2 linked regions of the Macaca fascicularis genome follow. The protein of the gene in region 1 interacts with the protein of each later gene in a pairwise test. Links are inferred from orthologs where the notes say so. Each region holds a gene or a part of one and is shown on either strand. Other genes may lie near its edges.

Region 1 (3,537 bases):
CCAGTTCTCAGGAGAAATAAACCCAGGAACCCCTTCAGCTGCGTATCTAAGTCCAGGCTCCTCAGCCCCGCTGCCTCCTGCCCTCCCAGCCTCCTGCCCTCCCCACCTCAGTCTCCTTCGATCTGAAACCAGCGCCCCCAGCGTGGTCATGGAAGATAGTCATGGCATCCGCATCCACTGAGATGGACGGAAACTATCCAGAGAGTTCTGACGGTGTCCCCGTCCAACAACTGTCACCTCCACACCTAAAACCCGCCCCCCCGGGGACGGGGCCTCTCTGTGTGAACCGTCCTGCGAGTGCAGCAGGGGTGCACATGGCTGCGGGTGCATAGCCCATGCATTCCTCGGACCTCCCGGCGTGGCCACCGCCACAGTGCAGGGGCTTGAGAGGCAGCACGGGGACCGTCACATCTTCGGTTCCAGGGTCTGGTGATGTTCCTGGCTGAGTCCATTGGGATGCTGGCTTCAGAAATGCCCGGGGTGCGTCTCTGAGCACTGCTTCCGGCCTGCCTCCCAGATGGCCCCATTGCTCCCCCAGTCCCTCCCGAGGCTCACACAGCCAGACCAGGTCCTCTGAAAAGACACAGCATCTTGGGTTTATTTGGGGTTGGGCACTGCAGGTTCAGGCACAGTTTGTTCCTGGGTAGAGTCACAACTGCTCCTCTCAGCTCTCTCGGCACTTCAGGGGCTGCCCCTGCAGGTCCCCTCCCCACGTCCCCGTTTCCTGCACACACGTCTCTTCCCCCCTCCCTGCTCCCCGAGTCTCTCATTCTTTCACCAGCCTGTAGATATGGTGCTGAGCCCCATGCTCACTGGCTGACACCTCGAAGACATAGGCGATGCACAGCAAGGTCTCCTGTGTGTCTCTGTTGGTGACCACCTGTGGGAGAGAAAAAGACAAGGGTGAATAAGGCCCCAGACGAGGGCACGCCCTCGCTGCTACCCACACACAGACTCCAGCCACACCCGCGGCACACCTGCAGGATGGTGAAGTTCTCCAGCACGCTGTTCATCATGTACTTCTCGGGGAGATGCTTCAGCTTGTGGATGAAGTTGATCATGTACTCACAGAGCGGGGAGCGGTGGATGCGGTAAGAATAGTGTCCATTCTCATAGCGAGCATACTCTGTCTGCAGGGCCCGGGGACAGCAGGGGCTTAGAATCCCATTCTGACCACCTTCGGCCCAGACCCAACTCCATGGGAAGCCCCAGGACCCAGACTCAACTCCATGGGAAGCCCCAGGACCCAGACCCAACTCCATGGGAAGGAAAGGCAGGAGGCCTAGGGGCCCTTAAGAAAAGAGTCACCCCCAGCCAGGGGCCGTGGCTCACGCCTGCAATCCCAACACTTTGGGAGGCCAAGACAGGCGGATCACCTGAGGTCAGGAGTTCAAGACCAGCCTGGCCAACATGGTGAAACCCTGTTACTATTAAAATACAAAAATTAGCCAGGCACGGTGGCACGCGCCGGTAATCCCAGCTACTCTGGAGGCTGAGGCAGGAGAATCGCTTGAACCTGGGAGGCGGAGGTGGCAGTGAGCTGAGATCATACCACTGCATTCCAGCCAGGGCGACAGAGTAAGACTGTCTCACACACACACACAAAAAGTCACCCTGTTAGGTTGGTGGACATTAAACAAGACCTCCTTCCTCCACGGGTGACCAGCAGGAACCGGGGATGGCAGGAGGGGAGCTTAAGGAGACACAGGAGCAGTGGGAAGGAGCCTCTCAATCCTGGCTGTACGTGAGGACACCACGGGGGATACACAGGGACCCCCGGGAGTCTGGTGGTGATCATGCAAGTCTCCATATCTACACGCACCCATGCACGTGCACAAAGGAGCGCGTATAAAGCTGGTGAGATCTGAACCAGCTTGGTGGACTGCATCAATGTCAATTTCCTGGGTGTCCCCTTTATACTTTAGTTATACAAGACATTGCCAGGGCAAGAACTGGGTAAAGGGCACATGGGATTATGATCCCAAGTGGATCCACAATTATCTCAAAAGTTTTACAAAATAAATTAGAAATAAATAATTGGAGGCACTTTTTTTTTTTTTTTTTTTTTTTTTTGAGACGGAGTCTAGCTCTGTCGCCCAGGCTGGAGTGCAATGGCCGGATCTCAGCTCTCTGCAAGCTCCGCCTCCCGGGTTCACGCCATTCTCCTGCCTCAGCCTCCGGAGTAGCTGGGACTACAGGCGCCCGCCACCTCGCCCGGCTAGTTTTTTGTATTTTTAGTAGAGACGGGGTTTCACCATGTTAGCCAGGATGGTCTCGATCTCCTGACCTTGTGATCCGCCCGTCTCGGCCTCCCAAAGTGCTGGGATTACAGGCTTGAGCCACCGCGCCCGGCCGGAGGCACTTTTTAAAAACCAATAATGCCTGGACTCTACCCTAGAGATTGAGGGGTGCTGAACGGGTTTCAGGCACTGGTGTGTTTCCAAAGCTCCCAGGAGACTGTAGGGTGCAGCCAGGTGGAGAAGCACTGGGGGAAGGAATCTCTCTTCCCTGATGCTGGCCTGGCATCTGGCTGCATTTGGCATGAGGAAGGTTATCAATAACTGATAGGCTGTGAGACTAGGACTTCATGAATTCAGACCAAGCTGGGGACAGGGTGAGGAGAGGGACGCAGACCGGCCTGCATGGCGAGGGGGTCTGGTTTAACAAGTGTGTGGGCGGCACAGGGTCCTGGACTCTCAGAGTGCACAGGTGTTTCGGGTCGGAGGCCTTCAGTCCCAGCTCCTTGTCACTGCCACTGTGCAGCGGGCCCAGAACACAGGGTGCTGCAGGAGACTGTGTCACGGACAGTGAAGACAACTTGGCCCTTGTTTAGAGATAAACGGAGGATTTTATCACAACCCCCCAAACACCCACCGGAAAGCAGGGTGGCTGGGTGGGGATCCCCCTGAATGTGTGCTCCTCACCACTGTCCTGCACTGCCCTTGGCCGGGGGTTTAGCCGAGTGGGAGAAACCACCGCCTAAAAGGCAGGCCTGACTTTTCTGTAACGTCCACTAGAGCGGGGTCTTCAGGTCACCCACAAGTAGAAAATCAGGGAGTTTTAGGCATTCATGGAGCAAAGTGAGCAGCGGATGGAGATCCTAGGCACCCAGGCCTGCTTCTGCATTAGTGAGCGGTGTGACCACGTGCGGGCGGTCGGGGGAGGCCTCTGCTCTCTCTGGGCCTCTACTGTGAAGCCAGAGGGCTGGACTAGGTAGATGCCCCTGGGCCCTGCCTGTGCTGCGGCTCTGATCTTGGAGAGGACCGGGGGCGCCTGTAAGGACGTGCTTGGAAGATCCTGAACGGGGAGCAATGGCTCTGGGGAGCGCCCCTCACCCACCAGGGTGGCCTCCTACCTCAACTTTCTCCACCACCTGCTTGCCGAAAGAGCAGACCTTGGTGGAGCAGGTGATAATCATGTTCTCGGGGCTCTCATACTGGCTGGAGACCCCATAGAAGGAGCTGCCTTCATCCTCGATGTTGGTGTTGAGGTCTGCCTGGAGGGAGACAGGGGGAAGCCGAGGGAGGGTCAGCAGGT
Region 2 (3,651 bases), on another chromosome or scaffold:
CATCATCTTTTTTTTTTTTTTTTTTTTTGAGACAGAGTTTCACTCTTGTTGCCCAGGCTGGAGTGCAATGGTGCAATCTCGGCTCACCGCAACCTCCGCCTCCTGGGTTCAAGCAATTCTCCTGCCTCAGCCTCCTGAGTAGCTGGGATTGCAGGCATGCACCACCACGCCCTGCTAATTTTGTATTTTCAATAGAGACGGGGTTTCTCCATGTTGGTCAGACTGGTCTCGAACACCCGACCTCAGGTGATCCGCCTGCCTCGGCCTCCCAAAGTGCTGGGATTACAGGCATAAGCCACCACGCCTGGCTGAACATCATTTCTTAATTGTTCTGTTCTCAACTTGCCATATGGCATGCTTTTATCCCCTGTTGGTTACATAAAACCACAAGATTCTTCCAAGTATAAGTACTAAACAACACTATCATGTTTAAAAAATATATAAATTCATGCCCATTTTCAAATTCTTGACTAGGGGTTTACTCTATGTCCTATCACTAATTTTTTAATTTGGAAATTTTTTTAAAAGGTAGATGACTTCCCCTGCCTTTCTATTTTCTGCCAGCTCCTCCCACTTCCTCCCTTTATCCTCACCCTCAACCCTCAAGTTCTCCACCTCTTCCCAATGTAAACAAAGATCATATCATAGTCTAGATCACATAATAAAGAGAACAAAAATAAGTGGCCCCCAAATATTAACTTACCCATTGAGGAAAGGATCTGAGCTATTATTAGTGATGGATCTCATGTCTGGGGTCATCGTGGGTGGGTTGACAGCAGCCTGAACTGGAGCAAGAGTCTCAGCTTCCATGGGGAGCTGTCGACAGAGGGCAGCTTCCTACAGAAGTAACAACAGTCAGAGTGGGAAGCAAGAGTCATTCACTCATTGTCACAAGGCATGGAGCAGAGTGTATGTCACATCAAAACTTTTCACCAGGCCGGGCGCAGTGGCTCAAGCCTGTAATCCTAGCACTTTGGGAGGCCGAGACGGGCAGATCACGAGGTCGGGAGATCGAGACCATCCTGGCCAACACGGTGAAATCCCGTCTCTACTAAAAAAATACAAAAAACTAGCCGGGCGAGGTGGCGGGCGCCTGTAGTCCCAACTACTCGGGAGGCTGAGGCAGGAGAATGGCGTGAACCTGGGAGGCGGAACTTGCAATGAGCCGAGATCACACCATTGCGCTCCAGCCTGGGTGACAGAGCGAGATTCCGTCTCAAAAAAAACAAAAACTTTTCACCAAATACAAAGCACTGTGTATTTACTCCCAGCAAGTCAAAATCACCAGGTAACCACTGGTATTCTTTCTCTGAAGAAAGTCTTACAGACATAAGTCACTTCACATTCACAAAGTTAATGGGAAGCTCAGCTATTATTTGACCTAAGGGCACTTAACTGTTGCAATCATCCCACCCATGCAATTATTTAAACACCCAAATCATAGAAAGTCCTCTCAAAACACTTCTCAGAGACAAGGCTATTTCTATCTGAGGTTCTCAAACCAAATCTACATCAATCAAAGCAATCAGATTCCTCTGGACTATAAGGTACATTCTGGTCTTTGCCACTTACAGGCCAGTAAAACTGTGGAATTACAGAGTACAGGCTCTACATTAAATTGCATCTGGAAGTTTTATGTTTACAGACAGGAAAGCAAAACAATGAGTTGAAAGTTTACTTTGAAAAGCCAATCAGTGGCCAGGGGCGGTGGCTCACGTCCATAATCCCAGCACTTTGGGAGGTCGAGGTGGGCGGATCACTGGAGCCCACAAGTTCGAGACCAGCCTGGGCAACATGGTGAAACCTTGTCTCTACAAAAAACACAAAAATTAGCTGGGACTGGTGTTACTTGGGAGCCTGAGGTAGGAGGAGCCTCGTGCCTGGGAGGTTGAGACTAAAGTGAGCAGAGATCACGCCACTGCACTCTAGCCTGGATGACAGAGTGAGACGCTGTCTCAAAAAAAAGGAAAAAAAAAGGAAAAAAAAAAGTCAATCCATTTGACTACTTCGTTGACTAAAATGCTGAAGATTGGGGAAACATGTAGATCCAATCCAAATCCCACAGACAAGTAACTGTTTCACAGCATATGGATTTCATTAGCAAAAACAAATAATATAAACATTATTTTATAAAAGCTAGCATTACATTGCCAAGGAGAGTCCATCCAAAATGCTAGAAATCTACTGACTGCAATTACTTTCTCTAGGTATGATCTCCAGGAGTCTCTCCTTTTTGACAAACATAACCAGACATCAAATTCCTTTCAAATTTGCTGCTGTTTCCAGAGAATACTTTTATATGTTTACATTTGCATCCCAAACTAAGGTTAGGCCTTTCCCCATATTTATGCCTATCAGTTTCCCACTTTCCATGCTGAAGTCATTGGTCTCACTGTCCCTCAAACCGTAAAACCATGGCTACAATGGCAAACAGAACATTTAGGACTTCTAAATTACAGTATCTTTGTTAGATCTCTTCCAGCCCTAACATGCTGTGACTTTAGAGGGTAACTGCTGTCTAGACAAGTCCTAGTGAAGTCATTGGCTATAAAAATTTTCAGTTACTAGAGTTCGTTGTGCTGTTACAAACCATGAGAGAACTGATTGATTAAAAAAAAAAACAACTGTATTGTTAACTTATACTGAAATAAATTTTCTAGCTGGAAAGGGTCTCTGGCTCACTTCTGTTCATCTAAATTGCAAATAATCGAATACTTAACTAACAAATTTTATTCAGGAATCTATAAAAAGCAAACCAAAAAATGGAGATTTTTTTTGGTAAGAAGTTATTTTCATTCACCATCTAAATCTTGGAAGTGCCTTCTGAATAAACCTAGAAAAATCAAATGACTTTCTGATAGTTGTTTTTAACATGGCAGGCAGGGTGCATTAGAAACCTTATTATCCAACCAAAGTTTTCCTGAAAGCCTCAGAAGGAGCAACAAGGATTGAATCTGGCATAAAAAGCCTGGACCCCACCAGTCCCCATCCCTCAAGCACACTCACATACCCTGAGCCACAGTTTGAAAAAATGTACCTTGTCAATGGTAAATTTCTAGTACTTTATTAACCATAAATGCAAGAATCTTTTGACTCATAACCTCATTATCCAAAAACACGAACTTTACTAGAATATTCCATTTTTCAATCATTCTGAATAAATGTGGGAGTTTACCTCTAAACAAAGACACTTTTAATATAAAAGTTGATGAGATGGCTGCATTCCTTTCTATCTGACAAAACTTTATCAACATAAGTCCTAAGAATAAAAGTTGAGGCTGGGCAGTGGCTCAAGCCTGTAATCCCAGCACTTTGGGAGGCCGAAGCAGGTGGATCACGAGGTCAGGAGATCGAGACCACCCTGGCTAACAAGGTGAAATCCCGTCTCTACTAAAAATACAAAAGTTAGCCGGGCGTGGTGGCATGCACCTGTGGTCCCAGCTACTTGGGAGGCTGAGGCAGGAGAACCACTTGAACCCGGGAGGCAGAGGTTGCATTGAGCTGAGATTGTACCACTGTGCTTCAGCCTGGGCGACACAGCGAGACTCTGTCTCAAAAAAAAAGAATACAAGTTGAATCTGCAATTACCAGGAGTTCTAAATTTAGATATAGTGAGAATCATTTCTGGAACTTCATGGGATAAAAAAAATA

The links.
Region 2: the proteins of TEAD4 (region 1) and WWTR1 interact in binary tests that used the Homo sapiens proteins (3 or more experiments, as listed by UniProt). The two-hybrid records come from large-scale screens. The link is inferred for Macaca fascicularis from reciprocal best matches to the Homo sapiens genes TEAD4 and WWTR1.

Annotation. Positions count from the first base shown.
Region 1 is NC_088385.1:3,922,965-3,926,501, reverse strand, and holds the end of TEAD4 (transcriptional enhancer factor TEF-3), read right to left. Parts: intron 3,497-3,537; coding exon 3,356-3,496; intron 1,131-3,355; coding exon 978-1,130; intron 881-977; coding exon 767-880; 3' UTR 575-766; downstream 1-574. UniProt on the Homo sapiens protein: Transcription factor which plays a key role in the Hippo signaling pathway, a pathway involved in organ size control and tumor suppression by restricting proliferation and promoting apoptosis.
Region 2 is NC_088376.1:52,343,779-52,347,429, forward strand, and holds part of WWTR1 (WW domain-containing transcription regulator protein 1), read right to left. Parts: intron 838-3,651; coding exon 704-837; intron 1-703. UniProt on the Homo sapiens protein: Transcriptional coactivator which acts as a downstream regulatory target in the Hippo signaling pathway that plays a pivotal role in organ size control and tumor suppression by restricting proliferation and promoting apoptosis.